Xenopus tropicalis: one gene and its partners. The protein of the gene in region 3 purifies or fractionates together with the protein of the main gene of each other region. This does not show direct contact. Links are inferred from orthologs where the notes say so. Each region holds a gene or a part of one and is shown on either strand. Other genes may lie near its edges. The genes, in order: ikbkg, smad4.1 and pias4.

Region 1 (7,020 bases), on a different chromosome or scaffold from region 3:
CATCCTTCATGGCTAAGTAGAACTGTATTTAGACACATGCTGCGTGCTGTGCTGGCTACTGTGCAGCCCTGCAGAATGCATAATAACTCAGCACGTGAATTTTAGAAGTGATTTTATAAGTGTTAAGTGTTTGGCTTTAAAAGGAGCGATACCCTGCCTTAAGGTGTTCACCATGATGCCCTGGTGCCAGCATATTTGCTTGCTTTCATTTAGCTTCAGTGGATTTTGGGAGGAACCCACTACAATATAAATTGAACGTAGAAAGCTCAAGCTGTTTACATCTTGCAATTTTCCATTCTTTTCCTAGGACTCAATAACATTCCAGTAAACAGGACAGACAGTTCTCTCTAAATTCCCAGACTAGGATAAACATATAGCCTTCCTTTAGAAAGTGAAAGAGGCTTCCATTGAGTAAACTTAAACAAGCTGTGCCCTACCCAGTTTGAGACCCCCATATTACTGCAATAGGGTTTGGTTACTCACTGAGGGGATGCTGTGCCGACTCAGGGGAATCAAGTTTAGCTTGTGCTTCGAGATGTCAGTGCTGTGTGTGTGCCCTAGAGATGCCAGGAGCGTTGTGTTTGTCTGATAGGGCGGGACATAGAGGCAGGCTCCCGTCTAGGGACTCCCAGCCTACTATGCATGTTTCACCACTCCCCTTCATCAAATCCCTCCCAAACTGAGCATTCCACTGCTCTACTCCATGCACCTTTCTCCCCACATCACTCTTGTACATCCCAGAGTACTCTCTGGCACTGGATTTTAAAGCAGTAATTACACATCAATCCCTTCCCCAGTAGAGCTTACAATCTTACAATATTTATATCTCCTACTTTAGGTTCATATCCATAAAGCAAACTTAGATCACTAAATTAATTGCATTGTTGTGCGGCGAAACACAAATATTCAACAAGGGACAAGGGTAAAAATGGAAAGGATTATTTATATTGGGACAAAATAGTATTATAGGAGAAATAAACCACTTCATACCTCTTTGGTTCCCTGCAGAATCCTTACACCTCTATCCCAAACCAAGCACCCAAATACAGTATGTTTCCCTAGAGCCAGGCCAAGTATAATTGGCACTGAAGGGCCCATGACTCCTTGGGGCTGATTTACTAATCCACGAATCCGAATCCCGAATCGGAAAAAATTGGATTGGAAACGAACATTTTGCGACTTTTTCGTATTTTTTGCGATTTGTTCGTCACCGTAGCGACTTTTTCGTAGCCGTTACGACTTGCGCGAATTGTCGCAACTTTTTCATAGCCATTATGACTTTCGTGAATTGTCGCGACTTTTGCATAGCCATTATGACTTTCGTGAATTGTCGCGACTTTTGCATAGCCAATATAACTTTCGTGAATTGTTGCGACTTTTTCATAGCCATTATGACTTTCTTGAATTGTCGCGACTTTTGCATAGCCATTACGACTTTCGCAAATTTTCGCGACTTTTTCGTATTGAGCGCTCTAAAAATTCGCGAAAAAAGTCGCAAAATACCGATCATTACGAAAAAACCGCATTCGGACGCTTTCCGGACGTTCGTGGATTAGTAAATGTGCCCCCTTGTCTAACTGGACCAATCCCCCACTTCAGTTCAATTTACAGGTCAGCCACCCACTGCTTGCTCCCGCTCTTCCAGTCACTATTTATTGGGCTGGTGGGGGCTGTTTGGGCCTCTGTGTACTTGGAATGCCAGCAGGGGTGGACTGAGCCAACCGGCCACCCAAGGCAACCCGGGTGGCCACCTAGTCCCTGCACTATTGCATTGCACCCCCCGTGTGTTTTGGCGGGGGGGTGCGATGTGAAAGTTCATTGCCCCCACCGCGGCAGGGGTAATGAAAATGGAGCACTAACTAGGGGTAGGCAAGAGAGGCTCCTGCCTGGCGCCCTTCAATCGTTGCCCCCTAGGCAGCTGCCTCTTCTGCCTACCCCTAGTTCTGGCCCTGAATGCCAGTCCAGCCTGTGCCCCCCAACTGTGATTGAGTCACATGCCCCTGCTGCCTAGCCCTAGTTCCAGCCTTATGCTTCCTCGTACATCAGGATTTAAGGCAGAGTAGAGCAGCAGGGTTGGCAGCTGCCATATATATGACTTCCTCTGCCTATTGGGGTACATAGGTGTTTTTGGGTCAGGAGGGAGGACTCTGCAGGGAAATGAAAGAGAAAACCATAAAAATTGCTTTATTATCACTGGAATAACAAAATGCTGCAATTGGTCAGCAACTGGCACAGTGCCTGGTCATTAGGAACAGTTCCCAACTATGGATCACTTATACATACATATAATATACATAGATCCAATATGAATTTCAGAGTTACGTGCGCACACATTAAACACATACAAGAGCAATGATTAACCTGTAAAAATATTCATATACAGATATGGCACCTAGTGATGTCATTGTTTATAATCAGCACTTAGTGATGTCATTCACAGCACCACCCACTGATACTTATATAGAATAATGTGGCCCCTGGTAAAATCCCATTATAGTAGAATATAGCTCAGGGTTCCTGACATGCATATATACAGGTGTATATGAAACCTAATGCTTTAGCAGCTGGATTCATCGCTCTAGAACACTAACAGATTTGGTTTTCTAATTGAGACGCGTGTGGCAGTTCTATGGCAGTAATTTCTCCATTGAAAGAAGCATGCTGCGGAGCGTGTAAGCAGGCTGTGTGCTACTCGTGTAGCCGCTACCCCCCACACGCTATAACTAACACACACACAGAGAACAGGTTTCCACACATTTTTCTAGTGCTGGAACACTGACACCAGGTGAGAGATCCACCCCCTCACTCACCCACACTGGGACTGCTCCCCATCTCTGCCTACTTCTGTAGCGTTACACCCAGCCCCGGCGCCGCTCCACCAATCAGAGAATGGTTTAGCCACCACATGGGCGTGGCTTGCGTCATTCACCGCCATGAGGTGCGCCGCATGAGCACGGTTCCCCAATGAAAACAGAGAAAAGCGGCAAACAGCCAATCAAAGGAGGGGATGTTGCCGAAGGTCGCCATCAGGAGAGTATTGGCACATTTTACCGCTTACATTTTTTTCTAATCCAATGCAGTCATGCCATGCTTCATTTCCGGTTTAGGACTCCTGCCCCACTTCCGACAATACTGTCAAACAGCGTGAGCCTCATTTCCTGGGGTTGGACCATCTACGGAAAGCGAACCCGGAAGCGATACAAAAACACTTTGGTAAGTGTCTTGACAGAACCTGGACTTCAGTTTCATTTTGTTCAAGGAATGGGTGGAGGAAGCCGACCCTGAGACAGTGAGTGGAGACTCTAAGCGTTACTGCACAGTAGGTAATTAAAAGTGGTTTTATACTAATAGAATGGGTGTCGGATCCAGCACCCATAGCAGAACATCACAAGCAGCTAACCCATACATGCATTCAACGTTTTCACTGATTTTACAGCTATTTGTAAATGCACTCGGTAGCTGTATGTATCCCTTCCTGTGTATAGTCATTGCTCATGCAGGTTTCAGTTGTCAGAACCAGCAGTGTAGAGAATAGCAATAGGGTATGTCGGACAGTCAGCTGATTGTGCTCTATTTTAATGAAAAGACCTCTAAAAAACCAATTGTACCTGATGATGTGAAGTGTAGGGGGAATCAGGGAGATTTGGAATGGAGGAGAGCTTAGACAGCAAGCTGTCAGTAGCAGCATTTGTATACACCATAGGTCACATTCACTTACCTAAACGCAGGGCATAAAGTGGAATTTACCCACAGTGCACTGTTTTTTTCCAGAATTACGGGGTCATTGCAATCACAAATTGATGATTCTCTTGACACAATTGCAACTCATCTACTACAGTTGCGTTAGGTTTGCCAAAAATAGACCCAACTGCGTGTGTGTGGCGCAGATGCAGTGCATATTTTCTAAAAGTGCCTGGCGAGATCGCCAAGTGAGCGGATCTTCTCCCGATATCCCCCACCTACGGGTGGGCAATATCGGGTGAATTCAGGCTAATTCAGTCGGGGACCGCATCAACAAGCCGATGCGGTCCCCGATCTGACTAAAATTTTTAACCTGCCTGATTGATATCTACCGATTTCAGGCCAGATGTCGGTCGGGCAGGCCTGTCGTTTGTGCCCCTACTTGGGCCGATAAGCTGCCGAATCAGTCTAAGGGACCGATATCGGCAGCTACAATCGGCCACCTTAAGCCTGCCTGTCATGTGGACACTGGTGGTCAGGTTATGTTAGTCGGCTTGCATAGGCAGTGTTGTGAATGGCTGGATTTACAGGGGTGCAACATCTGCCCCTTTTGCCCACTTGCACATTGGCAATGGAGATACCAGCTGCATTATATTGGGGTCAGAGGATAGTCTGGCAGACTGCAATTGCAATACAAAGCAGTCCAAATAATTTTATGGTAAACTATATAAAGGGGCATATATACATGCACACAGCAACAAGGGAATTATGGGCAGTGCTGTGCCCTAGGGTGCAGGTGGCACTGTCGGCAAGGAGTTTCTCTGTTTTCTGCACTGCTTTCCTCCCTCATTCAAAAACATACAGGCAGGTTTATTGGCTTCTGATAGAATTGACTCTAATGTGTGTGAATAAGATAGGGACCTTAGATTGTAAGCTCACTGGGGCAGGGACTGATGGGAATGTGATAGGGACCTTAGATTGCAAGCTCACTGGGCAATGACTGATGGGAACTTGAGATTGTAAGCTCACTGGGCAATGACTGATGGGAACTTGAGATTGTAAGCTTATTGGGGCAGGGACTGATGGGAATATGATAGGGACATTAGATTGTAAACTCACTGTGCAGGGACTGATGAGAATGTGATAGGGACCTTAGATTGCAAGCTCACTGGGCAGGGGCTGATTGGAATATGAAATGGACCTTAGATTGTAAACTCCACTGGGGCAGGAACTAATGGAAATGATGTATAATCTCTTTAAGTGCTCCAGAATATGCAGACACTATAAAAAGTAAGAAAGGTAATAATTAAATGTTGGTGTTAATTGTCCTTTAATCCCATATTGTAATTATGTAATTTTGCTCTGATCCCAAACAGCAGACACTGATCACCTGGGCTGCATTCCTCTTTGCTTCCTTCTTATCGCTGTCTCTCCAATAACATTCACAACTACTTCCTTATTCCTTCTGATAACATGGGAGAGATATAATTGGCCAATATACTATGTGATGTCATCAGGACTTTCCCTTTTTCTCTGGTATTCAGAACTGGTCATTGGTTTCTATTAAACCGTTTCCTATTTACTTTTGCTTTATGGTTGGATGTCTATATCTGTTTATAATGTTTTATGTTTTTATGTTCTTTTTTTCTATTAGTAGAGGTAACTATGGTTTACAGTCTGGTTTTACCAAATAACTAGCCTTTGGGGTGGGGTAAACATTTTTACTGGCCCTATGGATTTTCCCATGTGTCATGGGGAATTTCCACCCCTGTATATTCAGTGTAGTCTCTGAAACTCAGGTTCCCTAAATGCCTTTGTAGGCTATAAATGAAAAGCTACTTTTAAAGAGGTTGTTCACCTTTATGTGGATTTTTAGTATGTTATAGAATGTCCCATTCCTAGCAACTTTGCAGTTGGTCTCCATTATTTATTTCTCTTAATGTTTGAATTATTTGCCCTCCTTCTGCCTCTTTACAGCTTTTAAATGGGGGTCACTGACTGTGGCAGCCAAAAACAATTGCTCTGTGAGGCTACAATTTTATTGTTATTTTTTTACTTTTTATTCCTTATCTTTCTACTCAGACTCCTCTTATTCCAGTCTTTTATTCAAACCACTGCCAGGTTTCTAGGGTAAATAGACCATAGCAACTTGATGCTGCATGGCATGGGGGTCAGGAATTTAACCCCTGTAATGAGTACATTTGTTCCTCTGGAGATAAAAAAAGAGAAGGAAAGCTACAATTACTGGGGGGTGCATATATAGACCCATGCCCGCCCTGCCCCACCATCACAAAAGGGGCGGGTGTGGCAGGCATGCACCTATAAATTCGTAAGACGCAGGATTCCAGTGTTGCGGTCCTGGACAGGTAAAGCAGGTGGAAGAGCTTAACCCGCCCATTAAGCACAAGTGATGTGCCGAGGTCTGCCTGAACCCACCTGACCCACGGGTATTGTCACCCATCAGTGATTGTAAATTTCCTTCATTAATAATCTAATTCAAATTAGAAATAATTCACACTGTGCCTGTGTTTCCGATAATTCTGCATCATTTCTGGAATGCATGATACTGTAGCTTTATGCAGAAATACTTTTGCTTTCAATTTGTGAGTTCTTGGGTCCAGTCCATCAGTATGTAATATTAAAAGCTCAGATGAAATCAGTGCTGGCAGCACTGAAGTGCAATGGTTCAATTCCAGCCAGGATACAATGTGCAGGGAGTTTGTATGTTCTTTCTGTGTCTGTGTGGCTTTCCTTTGGGTACTCCACTCAGTTCAGCAGTAGGCACCCATCAGAGATATAAATAATGAGATGCACTTCTATGACCACCATTTCCAGTGTCAAAAGAGCAGATATAGGGCACCACACACTGACGTTATATCTTAAAATGCCTTTGTTGGACCTGTTATGCCTGGGTCTAAATTTTTTTCCGAGTTGGGTCCACCCTAACCCATCCCTTCTGGACCCAATCCAGCCCAAGATTGAGAAGGGAAATAAAAAAACCTGAACCATTCTGCCAATGTCAGTGATTTGATGCTGAGCACATATGAAGCATTCTGTGCCCTGCCCTTGGAAATACCAACCTGCTCTAGAAGTGGTTGCCCTTTTAGCCTGGATCCACCGAACCCGCCAGACCATGCATCACTAATATAAACTTTGTCTATAGCAGGCCACTATAGATACTTGAGAGAAGATTTTTTATTATTCCGACAGGTATGAGAAAGGCCAGTGGTTGTGAAAAAGTAGGTCATGGTCTACCAGCGCTGGTGACTCAGCATTAGAACATTGCCCACTTGAGATGTCTGTTGGACCCCCTCCCCATGATGTAGAATTGTAATGGGT
Region 2 (7,132 bases), about 110 Mb from region 3:
GAATGACAGATTAGAATTATCTGCCCACGGTTTCATTCTTATTCGCTTTGCCCTTTAATTCCACTGCTTTTTGACGGGATTTAACTTCATTGTTGTCTATATTAAACCGTAGAAAGTGAATTCACGTAGGAACAACATGGTATGTACGGCTTTATGCTGCCGTAATGATCCCTGTATACAGCAGCAAAACCCAGCCATGCATGGCAGTTAAACAAAGCTAAATTAAAGGGAAACTATACCCCCAGAATGAATACGTAACCAACAGACAGTTTATATCACATTAAGTGACCTATTAAAGAATCTCCCCAAACTGGAATATATATATCAGTAAATATTGCCCTTTTGCATCCTTTCCCTTGAGCCGCCATTTAGTGATGGGCTGTGTGCTCCCTCAGAGATCAGCTGACAGGAAGTGATGTGGGAAATCGTGTGGGAGCAAAAAGCAGAACTCTGTCCATTCATTGGCTGATGGGGCCTAGCATGTATGTGTGCCTTGGCTTTGTTTGTGTGCACTGTGAATCCTATGATCCCAGGGGGCGGCCGTTAATTCTTAAAATGGCAGTTTTCTATTTAGTATTTACTAATACAATATATTTATATGAAAATGGTTTATTTAGATGAAGCAGGGTTTTACATATGAGCTGTTTATGCAATATATTTTTATAGAGACCTACATTGTTTGGGGGTATAGTTTTCCTTTAAATAACCTCCAAGTTGGCATGCCCTGGTCGGTAGGGCACCCTAAATACATTCCCTATAATACCCCAGGGTTCCAGGGGGCTATATGCCCATAAGCATGCCCCTGGCAGATAAACAATCTCACAGAGATGTGCGTGGATTCTTCACCTTCTCGCACTCCCATCTGTAAACAAACCGAACACACATGGAAAATTCTGCCGCCTGGTCTATGCCAAAAATAACAGAAGAGGAAACTGTTTTGAGTCAGCAAAGCGTTCGTGCAAAGGGAGAGCGCATCTGGATCAGAAGAGTCTCTTTGCCAGGGGGTGGGTGCCATATACTCAGACTGCCATGGGTCCCTTCTGGCACCACCAGATACGGATCAATATAAAAACTCCATTGTCACTAATGAAGAACTCAGTGTCAGTAAAGGAGAGAAATATAAACCTTTTGCGGAATCTGATACCTTAATGGATTCTGGAGCGCAGAGCCCTAAGGGAGCCTGATGTGACCATCACAGCCACATGTCACTTCCGATAGCCGTCCCCAGGCCTGTGCTGTCAAAACACCATTACTTTACACACAAAAAAGGCAAAGGAAGGGATCCATCAATCCATGGCACGGATGGTTATCACGGGCAACTAAAATCCTTAATAAACTAATTTTTTTTAAATTACTATTAGGGTGTACAGCTGCTGTACAATTTATTTCAGACAGCAGCCCTATGAAAGACAAACTACTACCTATAATTCAACCAAATGTATGTGCCCAAGTTCCTTTGAAGCATTTGTCCTTCCGTTCTTTCATAACGTAACCAATAAAAGCAGCTACCTTACGGGGCAGATTTCAGCTGCTGATTTGGGTCCTTCAGACAAATACTGCAGCTTATCTACCTGAGTATGGGCACCCCCCACGGGCCTACCCCAACAGATCTTGATTTTCCCGTCGGATAGGGGCTCATTGATGCAGTCCTCGGTCCGACATCCCATATACCCCCCAAAGGATCAATTTAGCCCAATATCTCCTACCTTAGGTTGGCATATCGGGAGAAAATTGGGAAAAGATCTGCTCGTTTGGCGACCTCACCAACAAAGCAGATCTTAAGGTGGCCATACACGGGCCAATTCTAGCTGCCGATATCAGTCCCTTAGACTGACTTGACAGCTTATCGGCCCGTGTATGGGCACTACCGACTGGCCTGCCCAACCGATATCTGGCCTAAAATCAGGCAGGTTTAAAAATTTAGTTGGACCGGGGACTGCATCGGCTCGTTGATGCGGTCCCTGAACTGACTGCGCCTATACCCGTCATTCTAATTCGATCGTTTGGCCCCAGGGCCAAATGACCAAATTAGCCCGATATCACCCACCCGTAGGTGGGGATATTGGGAGAAGATCCGCTCGCTTGGCGACCTCACCAAGTGAGCAGATCTTACTGTGTATGGCCACCTTTAGTCCCTCCAGATCAAGTCAGCCCCATATTAGCCAATATATGGAGCCCTCCTGCTGGCCTGTCTGACTGATATCTGGATCCAGTTTGGCCACCACATTACAGAATCCTGTTGGGCCCCTATTATGGTTTGGTTGTTGGACTGGGAGCCAAAATGTTCAGACCATTACAGATTCTACGTGTATTCCCAGTAGGGCTGCACCGAATCCAGGATTCAGTTCGGGATTTGCTTTCGGCCGAATCCATGCTCCTGGACGAACCAAATTCAAAAAATCACGTGACTTTTTGTCACGTAAACACGGAAGTTGAAAATGTAACCCTTCCGTACCCTAATAAGCATTTGCTAATGAAGATGTAACCCTTCCGTAACCTAATTAGCAATCTGTTCGTTATTCAGCCAAATGGATTCGGTGCATCCCTAATTCCCAGCTTTACACTGATATGTGCTTGTCACTTAAATGCACAGATCTGTTCTGGTAGAAGGATACAGAACTGTGTAACCCCCCTAGGGCATAGAGTATGAATAATAGAGAAGAATTGCAGACACCAGGCGGAGATATCTTGCATACACCGGTACTAATATCAGTACAGCACGGAGGCTCAGAGCAATCTGCCAGCCCAGTATAGTGCTTGTGTATAATCCAATGATGGTAGATGGGATAGCGGCCCGCCGGCTGGCATGCTAAGAATGAGGCTGTATTTAATAATATGCCTTGATGGTGTCTCCTCAACGACTGTTAAAAGAAGCAGCTTGAGCCCCGGCGCTTAATCCGTGCATCAGATATAATGTTTCACAGAAGGGGGGGGAACTGGATCATGAATTTCAGCAAAGGAACATTGTGTACGGAATCAGAACCACCAATCACATCGCTTCATGCGCAGAGACATTAAGGTGCCTGCACGGCTTAACCCCCAGCTGCTCTGCTTTATGGTTGCACAATGCAGCCGCACCACCTGTGAGCCCAACATCCCCATCGATCTGCCAACTGACAATGGTTTGGTGTTCACCGACACAGTGACACTATATGTCTTTTTTTGCATTTGGCTCGATGTATATGGGCACAGAACCCCTCAGTGACTTCTAATATCCTTATCATTTACAGTAGGGGGTACATTATCCCTTATAATACATGAGTGATACTCAGAGTTCCCTGTATAACTCAGCCTGCAGCCTTGTGCCTTTATATGGGCACAGAGCCCCTCAGTGACTGCTCATATCCTTATCATTTACAGTAGGGGGTACATTATCCCTTATAATACATGAGTGATACTCAGAGTTCCCTGTATAACTCAGCCTGCAGCCTTGTGCCTTTATATGGGCACAGAACCCCTCAGTGACTGCTAATATCCTTATCATTTACAGTAGGGGGTACATTATCCCTTATAATACATGAGTGATACTCAGAGTTCCCTGTATAACTCAGCCTGCAGCCTTGTGCCTTTATATGGGCACAGAACCCCTCAGTGACTGCTAATATCCTTATCATTTACAGTAGGGGGTACATTATCCCTTATAATACATGAGTGATACTCAGAGTTCCCTGTATAACTCAGCCTGCAGCCTTGTGCCTTTATATGGGCACATAACCCCTCAGTGACTGCTAATATCCTTATCATTTACAGTAGGGGGTACATTATCCCTTATGATAATCTTTAATAACAATAATGTAGAAGAAGCCAGCAGATAGATCTGGAGGAAATCAACTTCTGCTACATTGTTGCAAGAGGCCTCATCCGCCAAATAAAACTACTCCTAGTTACAATCCAGTCTAACATTGGAACATATGACTAGTTGCTAGGCAGCAGCCCTATGCCATAAGAGCGTTGAAAGGAAGCAATGTTTCCTAGAGGCTTACTATTCTCTTTAAAGGGGAAGTAAACCTAAACCTGCCAGTCCCTTTCAGCCCACAGTGGCCTGGTTTATGGGCGGGGGGAGCTAGGCTCAGATATTCCTATAACCTCTCTCTGTGCCCCAGCTACCGAGTCCTACAGCAGTATTGTCCAGTAATCACTGGGGTAAGTGTTGGGGTTGTAGGTTCGATCCCAGTCAGGGCATTATATATATATATTTGTATATTCTCCCTGTGTCTCCTGTTCTACCCATTGGAAAGCATTAGGAGAGGCGGTTTGACCATCCCTACCTGCCACTGCCCATCCCTAGTAGCAATAAAATAACCCCATGGTTATTGGGAACCATTAGGGGTCAATAAACCCTCCTGTACATATCAGCCTCAGCCAGGGAGCTTACAATCAATCAAATCCCCAACCTCTAAGAGGTGAATTAGGAAACCACTATAAGGGTTTGGGCTTCTCTGTCTTTACTGAACTACAACTCCCATCATCCCCTGCAACAACAATAGCCGCACAGGATATGTGTAAGAGCTGACAAACCGTAACTCCCATAGGCCCCTATGGGAAAAGAGGAGCTTTAAAGGCGCCCGTAAGATAGGCAAGCGCCTCACCGCCTCCAGTGTTTGTGCCCCGGAGCCTCAGCCCGTCCCCTCCCTCTCCATGAGCGGCAAGGCAGCTAATCCCCGGGCGGCCTGGGAACTACACTCCCAGCCCAGGCCCGGAGCAACCCCTTCCTTCCCGCCTATTTCCTTACCGAATTCGAAGTGAAGAAAAGCTCCGTTTCTTCCGGCACCCCCCGCCCGCTCCACAGCGGCCCAGGCCGCGGACAACAAGAACCCCCAGATACGGGCCGCGCCTGCGTACCAGCAGCAACAGCAGCAGCGATCCAGCCTACATCCGGGCCACTGAGCAGGGGGTGGGCGGGGCCGGCATGGAGCGGGAAGGAGGAGGCGGGGAAGCGTGGAGAAAGGAAAAGGCTAGTTAGGGAAAGAGGCGTGGCTGTATTAGAACAGGGCGGAATTGCCAGTCTGTGGGCGGGGCCTTACTAGCGCAGTAGTGCTGCATTCTGGAAGAAGCCCTGCTTACTGGATTGCTTCTGCTAACGGGGCTGGTTACGCTCCCAGGCCTGCTGCTTGATTTTGGGAAAGCCTCTGCCTTTTATTTATATTATTAACCCTTTGCTTTAGTCTCACAGTGCCAGTACAGCAGCAGCCAATCCTAAACCAGCAGCCAGGGCCGTCAAAAGTAATCATGCGGCTTCAAGTATTAACCCTCCAGTCACCTGGGCCCCAAAGGTGATGAACCCTGTAAAATGGGGCCCTTAAAAAAACAAAAAGCTTCTATGTACATGGTACCTATATGGGGCCCCTGACTGCAGAGAATATAGCCCCTGTACATGGCACCTATATGGCCCCCTGACTGCAGAGAATATAGCCCCTGTACATGGCACCTATATGGGCCCCTGACTGCAGAGAATATAGCCCCTGTACATGGCACCTATATGGGCCCCTGACTGCAGAGAATATAGCCCCTGTACATGGCACCTATATGGGCCCCTGACTGCAGAGAATAAAGCCCCTGTACATGGCACCTATATGGCCCCCTGATTGCAGAGAATATAGCCCCTGTACATGGCACCTATATGGGCCCCTGACTGCAGAGAATATAGCCCCTGTACATGGCACCTATATGGGCCCCCTGACTGCAGAGAATATAGCCCCTGTACATGGCACCTATATGGCCCCCTGACTGCAGAGAATATAGCCCCTGTACATGGCACCTATATGGGCCCCTGACTGCAGAGAATATAGCCCCTGTACATGGCACCTATATGGGCCCCCTGACTGCAGAGAATATAGCCCCTGTACATGGCACCTATATGGCCCCCTGACTGCAGAGAATATAGCCCCTGTACATGGCACCTATATGGGCCCCTGACTGCAGAGAATATAGCCCCTGTACATGGCACCTATATGGGCCCCTGACTGCAGAGAATATAGCCCCTGTACATGGCACCTATATGGGCCCCCTGACTGCAGAGAATATAGCCCCTGTACATGGCACCTATATGGCCCCCTGACTGCAGAGAATATAGCCCCTGTACATGGCACCTATATGGGCCCCTGACTGCAGAGAATATAGCCCCTGTACATGGCACCTATATGGGCCCCTGACTGCAGAGAATATAGCCCCTGTACATGGCACCTATATGGGCCCCTGACTGCAGAGAATATAGCCCCTGTACATGGCACCTATATGGGCCCCTGACTGCAGAGAATAAAGCCCCTGTACATGGCACCTATATGGCCCCCTGATTGCAGAGAATATAGCCCCTGTACATGGCACCTATATGGGCCCCTGACTGCAGAGAATATAGCCCCTGTACATGGCACCTATATGGGCCCCCTGACTGCAGAGAATATAGCCCCTGTACATGGCACCTATATGGCCCCCTGACTGCAGAGAATATAGCCCCTGTACATGGCACCTATATGGGCCCCTGACTGCAGAGAATATAGCCCCTGTACATGGCACCTATATGGGCCCCCTGACTGCAGAGAATATAGCCCCTGTACATGGCACCTATATGGGCCCCTGACTGCAGAGAATATAGCCCCTGTACATGGCACCTATATGGGCCCCTGACTGCAGAGAATATAGCCCCTGTACATGGCACCTATATGGGCCCCCTGACTGCAGAGAATATAGCCCCTGTACATGGCACCTATATGGGCCCCTGACTGCAGAGAATATAGCCCCTGTACATGGCACCTATATGGGCCCCTGACTGCAGAGAATATAGCCCCTGTACATGGCATCTATATGGGCCCCTGACTGCAGAGAATATAGCCCCTGTACATGGCACCTATATGGCCCCTGACTGCAGAGAATATAGCCCCTGTACATGGCACCTATATGGGCCCCTGACTGCAGAGAATATAGCCCCTGTACATGGCACCTATATGGCCCCCTGACTGCAGAGAATATAGCCCCTGTACATGGCACCTATATGGCCCCCTGACTGCAGAGAATATAGCCCCTGTACATGGCACCTATATGGGCCCCTGACTGCAGAGAATATAGCCCCTGTACATGGCACCTATATGGGGCCCCTGACTGCAGAGAATATAGCCCCTGTACATGGCACCTATAT
Region 3 (7,034 bases):
ACCACGCACCACTACAGATGGACCTAAGTGTCCCGGGCGGGGTGGGAGAGAGCCAGTGGAGACTACCACCTAGATGGATCTAGCACAAATTTGTTCAGGAGGAGTTTGGAAGGCAATTCAAAAGTTACTGGGAAACCAACCTAGGCTCAGCAGTGGATCCAGTAGTATGGGATGCGGGAAAGGCCTTTGCGTGGGGAACATATATCTCCCTGATCAAAGAGGCTAGACGCAAGTTAGATACTTCACTCAGAGGCCTTAGAAGTAGCAGAAAGGGAGTGCACAAGGGACCCCCACTGAACACCTGGGGGAGGCCTACTCATTAGCACAGAGGAATGTTAACCTAGTCTATACAGAAAAGTATTCGCAAGGGGAAGTCAAACAAGTAGCCACCTGGTATGAAAAAGGCAACAAATGTGGCCGCCTCCTCTCTATACTCTCTAGAGAGCCCTCCCAGTTAACCGCTATCCCCAGAATCCTGAACTCGGAGGGAAGTGAGGTACATGAGCTGGACCAAATCCAGGACGAATTCACTGCATTTTACGCCGAACTGTATAGGTCTAAAACACACCACCCCCAGGAAACCCTGGCCAAATACTTAGATAGCATCTCAATCCACAAACTTTCCAGAGAAAGAACAGAGTTTCTAAATAAAAACATTACCTCAGATGAGGTCCCAGAGGCCATAAAATCCTTCCCCTCGGGCAAGGCGCCAGGCCCGGGCGGCTTGCCCATAGAGTGGTATAAGACACATTACCTCAGATCACAATACTTTTATTAAGCTAACACATGATACAGAGAGCCTAACGCGTTTCGTACCCTACGGTACTTAATTTACTTATTTTCATTCAGCCTATGATTAAGTACCGTAGGGTACGAAACGCGTTAGGCTCTCTGTATCATGTGTTAGCTTAATAAAAGTATTGTGATTTTACTTCAATCCTCTCGTGAACAATCGCTTTCCTTCACTTAATAATACCGGAGTGCCTGCCTTCTTTCTATGTTTGCGACTTATCCATGATGGCTCCCTCTAGCTGAAGGTCTGGGGCATGGGCCCATCTATACTACGGGTGAGATTTTTTTGAAATACTTATGAGCATATGTTTTATCTTAGTTTCAATCATCTATAAATACTTGTAAAGGACAAGAAAAATTTAAATCAATGGAGGGTGCCAAATGTTAGGCACGCCTCAATGAGCTGCTGCTCATTTGGTAAAATGCTATGTCAATCTTCTTCATTCCTGACTGTGAACTGTTAGTCTTGCTTTCTTAAAGCTTTTAGTACAAGTTGATTCAGGGTCCGGTCAAACTGCCATCTTAGAGCCAGGAAGGAATATCTTTTTAACCTCCGAGGCTGTGGACAGGCTAAGAAATGTTTTTTTGTTTTTGCCTTTCTCCAGGCTGGATTCATGGACATAAAAAGCTGAACTTGATGGTCGTGTGTCAACCTAAGCTATTACATTACTTTTCTGTCTAAGCAGGAAGGTGGACAGGACATTTAGATTAACAGGAGCTTTCTTGAAAACAAAAGGGAGAATAACTGATACTATCCTTTATGGCACAAGCTCAATTCAATTGGTTTAAAAAAAAAAAAAAAAAAAAAAAAAAAAAAAAAAAAAACACTACAGGTATGGGACCTGTTATCCAGAATGCTCGGGACCCGGGGTATTACAGATAAGGGATCTTCCCGTAATTTGGTTCTGCTAAAAATCATTTAAATATTGAATAAACCGAATAGGCTTGTGTTTCCTCCAATAAGCATTAATTACATCTTAGTTGGGATCAAGTACAAGGTTCTGTTTTATAATTACAAAGAAAAAGGAAATAATTTTTAAAAATTTTAATTATTTGCTTATAATGGAGTCTATGGGAGATGGCCTTTCCGTAATTCAGAACTTTCCGGATAAGGGGTTTCCGGATAAAGGATCCCATAGCTGTACTTGAACTGTAAAAATATATATCTTGCACAATATCTTAAAATTTACAAAAATATATATCTCACACAATTCCTCAGATTAAGTGGAAAGGGAAGTTGTGGTTTACAATCCTTAAAATAGATATTAATGCAAAAAGTCCACAGAGGAGTAACTATGCTGATAAAGGGTATGGGTGGTCTCCGATATGTTTTAGCTGGAGAAGAGGCATTTATAGTTGGACATGGTACTTTGTATAAATATTCAAAGAGGCCATGCAATAAACTGATGCTTTATTAACCAGTAGGTCCTTCCAGCTAATGTGAGGGCATTCATTCAGATTAGAAGAAAGTTCCATTTTAGTATGCTAAATGTTTTTTACACAGTGAGGACTCCCCTGAGTCTTCCGTATTGGCAGAAGCATAAGTTTTAAGAAAGGGTTGGATATCTTTAGAACATAAGGAAATCAAAATTTACTGAATTACTTCTTAGTAGGAAAATCAGGAAAGATTTTTCCTTGGAGAGGCTACAGTTTTTTTTTCACCATCCTCTGGCAAAAAGATTGAAATTGATGGAAGGGTGTCTTTTTATAATGTCATCTACTATGTTACTAAGTAATAAAGCTGGTGCATCAGTTTACTGCTATAAGTAAGGTGCGAGTGGACTCGCACCTGACCTTAGGGATTTGAGCCCATCACCTGCTCGTGACCCACTAAAAAATAAATTTGTCAGCCTCCAAGGCACCTGAACTGTAGGATTAAGGTAGGTCGTTTCATCACAAAATGCTAACTCCCAACCATGCCTGAGAGGCTCGGTATCCTTCAGGCACTGTGAGATGTTGCCCATTCAAGTGAACAGGAGGAGGTGGGAGTGGCTATCAGCCATTTCTCTGCCAACTGAAAAATGTTAGACAAGAGGAGAAATGTGTATCAATATGCATTCATCTTTCATAATTTTACAGTTCTTTAAAAATGGATAGAAAAAGAATACGTGTTTTCTTTTGCATAACAATTTAAATATTGCATAAAGAGTAGTTTGAAAAATATGAACTTTTAAAGTTATTTAATGCTTGCATGGAGAAAATTAGTTTGTGGTACTCATGTGACTTTCTATTTCCATTCTGGCAAACACAAAAAGCCAGCCTTGCATTGTGGCAAAGATTCTTGATACAAATGTCAATGCACCAAAAGACATTGCCGGATCAATAATGCAGATCCTCTGGGTGGTGGAAATGCCTAAAACCACCTGTGAACCTTCCCTTGTCTGATAGGAAGTATGGGCATTTTGTCACCAGAGCAAGCACCACATGTGACATAAGAGTATGGAATGCATACATATAGCAAAGATTATAGCAAATAATTCAACAGATAAACTTAATAATAGAACATTAGCTAATAAAGTAAAGCTCTGTTGGACAATTCAAAAAATAATGAGACCTCCAATGTACAAAAATAAATAAATTATTGCTAAAATGATCCGGGCGACAATATCCCTTAAAGGCTTAAAACTTGTATCCAATACAACTACTCTTTCTCAGAATAATAAGCAACAATTGTATTCGATTATATCAAAAAAAGGAATATCTCCACCTGAAAGTATTCAGGGGAGCACCTTATTAGTGTCAATGGGAAATTTTATATATAAAGCATTTGCCATGGCCCTTATGAAAGTTTAAACATTTAAGTTGCACACTAATATATCCACAATAAATATCAATAAAACTCCAGCAAAGTCTAAGGCATTACTTAAAAGTACCAAGATATCCATACATGTAAAACAAAAGATGTTTATAAACAAGGTCTTCTAAATGCGCAGAGGGGCCCCTAATGTCTCCAACCATCTAACGTTGGATTCTAAATAAAATACTACTTTAGGTAAATAAAAGCAACCAGCCAAATGACAGACAGGTAGAACTGTTTGGAGAATAACTGTGGATGATCATTATGAAACTACTGAGACTAAGAAAGAGAGAGTAAGAATACGATGGGGCCGGATAGCGCTATATTACTATCTCCCAGACAGCAGTGGCTAGAAATTACGGCTAAGCACTTATTTGTTTGAAAATTATTTGCATCGGAGAACTAAATTTGGACATTAAGCACAAAGAATAACCGGCAACATTTTGTGTAACAGTACAGAGAAATAAGTCGCTTGCGGGCCATATGCCGTAAATGGTGGGCGCATTATAGACGTACAGTAACTAAAACCTTAATAGGACACAAAGCAAAACGAAATAGGGACATTTAGTGTATTACACTTGGGAGGCATTCTTGCAATGAATAGGCAAAGTAGCCAAGATCTCACTAATTTAAACCCTCATTTCCCGTCTCACCTTCGCCTCCACCAGCTCCGCCGCCATCTTGGCTTCCAGCGTCCCCCGCGCCGGCCGACGCCGCCCCACGTGATCATCCCGCGCGCTCATGTGCCAATCCCCAATCGCTTCTTTACAAGCTCGGCTCCTACCACTTCGCGCTTGCGTATATCTCTCCATGATTATACGTTCGGCAGTCCGGCAGTCCGGCATGGGAGGAGTCTTCCCTTTGTAATGCCTTATCACCAATTGGTTGTGCGTATGACGTAATGTAACGTTGCCGCTTACATTGTAATTCTTTTTTGTGGGTAAAATAGACCAATTGGAAAATACTAGCATATACTAGTGAAGAAAGCTTTGTTTCCTTAACGGCGTTAACTATTATGTGGTAGTTGTAGATAGATAGTGACTTGGTATTAAAGATCTTAAACAGCAGAGGAAAATTTGTGCACATGTTCTATTTCTTTGCTGTGTTTTGTCCCTAATAGTGTATGATTGATTTACGTTTATCTGATGGATACACTGTTTGGTCTTGGTTACGCATTTGTAAACAAATATGGACATTGTATGGAAACTGTGGGGCTGACAGTAGGAAAATATTTCGTTGTCAGTGTAAAAACTGATAATACCATGAACTCTAAAGTGAATATATTGGTCATGTAAGAAGAAGAACTCAAAAGAACACTGAAAAACCCTACATTCCTTTTTGGGAGCTCTAGGAGTGAGAGGCAGGACCAGGATAGTTGGTTCAGAATACATTTTTTTTTAACATCATAACCTTTATTGACCATTTATCATATAATACATGTAAATCTTTTGTTACACATCAGAGTTAGGAACTTTGAAGTATTTGTTACAGTTTTCCCAAAGTGCATAGCATCGGCATTGTACATATATATGTCGGCTTACCGGTTGAAACAGTTTTTACACAAGGTCCAGAAATAAAAGTAAAAGTAATACTAAAACAAATGAAGTTAACATAACGTAACCTATGGTAAAGTAGGTGATAAGAGTTGTTACCTAACCTAGCAGGCAAATCCAGGGGTGTGAGGTTTGTCGTGGGCGTACGGTGGGTAGGGTGTGTTAGTTGTCGCTCATACAGTAATGGGGCTTTGGCTTTCTTAGGTTAATATCTAGGGGAGGGGCCAGGAACCCCATATTTTGTCAAACTTCTCTGGGGCTGCTGTTTTTGTGTATAGGTATTGCATACAGTCTATATATTTCTGCATTTGGTCTAGCCATGTTTGGTGGGTTGGGGGGGTTCACATCTTTCCACAGGTATGTTATGCATCTACGGGCTTGGAAGAGGCCTTGTCGTATAACCGTTAGCTGGCATTTGTTACCCAGGGAATCATCGCATGCTCCTAATATAGCTAGTTCCGGGGAAGGCTGGAGTTGCATGTTTGTTGTTTCTGCTATTGTGGCAAATAACTTTCTATAGTATAATTGCAGCTTATTGCATTCCCACAGCATGTATATAAAGGTACTTGGGGCTAGGCCGCATCTAGTACAGTTAGGGGATATTTGGGGGTTCATCCTATGCAGCCTTAGTGGGGTAAAGTATGCCCTGTGAAGGATAAGCTTCTGAATCATTTTGTGGTTAGCAGTGGGGGAAATGAACCTGGGTGCCTCCAAGGCGTCCAACCATTCATCATCAGTTAGTGCGGGGATATCAGTTCGCCATGCCCTGAAGAGGCTGGCATTGGCCTTTTCATATTTGCAGAATGTTAATGTACTATATGTTTGTACCTCAAGTATTCTGCAAAAGGGTGATTTTCCCACCTTAAAGGGGGCTGACTGGTAGGCATGTTGTACTTGCCTATATGTTAACCTTTGGGTACCGGGCATTTCGTATTCCCTTTGGAGTCTGTCAAAGGGTTTAAGGGAGTTGTTTTGCACCAAATGTTGTAGTATTTGTACCCCTTTGTTGTTCCATATCCGCCCTGCCTCTATGTGGGTAAATTCATTAAGCGCTCGGTTGTTCCATATGGGTGTGTCTAGGTGTTTAGCCTGGTGTGTGCATACTGCTTCAGTGCGCGACCATAAGGTGCGGGTTAGAGATATTATAGGGTGGGTTGTGTTTCGTGGTTTGTCAGTTGGGGTTTTTAGCATCTCTTGTAGGATGGGTCTTTGTGTGTTGTTCAGGGCCATTAGCAGTTTGGAGGATGGGCAATTAGGTTTTTGGGTGAACCAGGGTTTGGCGTGTGCTAGTTGGGTAGCCAGGTGGTATAGTTCTCAGTCTCTGGTAGAGATGCTCCTTCACTGTCTGCAGCTTTTTTAAGGTAGTCTAGTTTTAGTCTCCTTCTCCCCGTTCCCTATATAAAGGGGCTCATTATTTTATCAAATTTTTGGAAAAAGGATTTGGGGACCCTTATAGGAGCATGTGTAAGTATATACAATACTTTGGGGAGTATTGTCATTTTTATTAAACTAATATGACCTTGTGGACTGAGTGGTAGACCAGCCCATTGTTTAAATCTTGTTTCCACCATGCCCAACAGTGGTAAGATATTCATTACCCAGTAGGTGGAAGTAGGTAGTGATACCTTAATGCCTATGTATTTGAACTCTGGAGTTATTATCAGCGAGTGTTGGTTGTGTTCTGGGTTGTTCTTTTGTTTGTCTACAAAGAATAGAGTGGATTTAGTGAGGTTTACCCTGAGGCCAGAGTGGTCCAGATTAAATTTTATTCAAAAGCCAGGCAAAGGTCAGGCTGAGAATAAGGAGAAGCCACAGTGAAATATACAGGCCAATAACCAATACGAGAAATCACTATCACAAAGGAATGCTTAGGGGCAGATTTTGCAAAAGAG

What was found.
Region 1: the proteins of pias4 (region 3) and ikbkg purify together in Homo sapiens (affinity purification with western blotting; 5 studies listed by BioGRID, with this or other methods). This does not show direct contact. The link is inferred for Xenopus tropicalis from reciprocal best matches to the Homo sapiens genes PIAS4 and IKBKG.
Region 2: the proteins of pias4 (region 3) and smad4.1 purify together in Homo sapiens (affinity purification with western blotting, with the first as the bait; 3 studies listed by BioGRID). This does not show direct contact. The link is inferred for Xenopus tropicalis from reciprocal best matches to the Homo sapiens genes PIAS4 and SMAD4.

What each region holds. Positions count from the first base shown.
Region 1 is NC_030684.2:25,683,126-25,690,145, forward strand, and holds the start of ikbkg (NF-kappa-B essential modulator), read left to right. Parts: upstream 1-3,014; 5' UTR 3,015-3,213; exon of another isoform or gene 3,214-3,323; intron 3,324-7,020. Other genes in the region: g6pd (glucose-6-phosphate 1-dehydrogenase), read right to left, coding at 2,811-2,832. UniProt on the Homo sapiens protein: Regulatory subunit of the IKK core complex which phosphorylates inhibitors of NF-kappa-B thus leading to the dissociation of the inhibitor/NF-kappa-B complex and ultimately the degradation of the inhibitor.
Region 2 is NC_030677.2:205,055,776-205,062,907, reverse strand, and holds the start of smad4.1 (mothers against decapentaplegic homolog 4), read right to left. Parts: upstream 4,896-7,132; 5' UTR 4,733-4,895; intron 1-4,732. UniProt on the Homo sapiens protein: In muscle physiology, plays a central role in the balance between atrophy and hypertrophy. When recruited by MSTN, promotes atrophy response via phosphorylated SMAD2/4.
Region 3 is NC_030677.2:93,074,634-93,081,667, forward strand, and holds the start of pias4 (E3 SUMO-protein ligase PIAS4), read right to left. Parts: upstream 4,276-7,034; 5' UTR 4,270-4,275; coding exon 4,243-4,269; intron 1-4,242.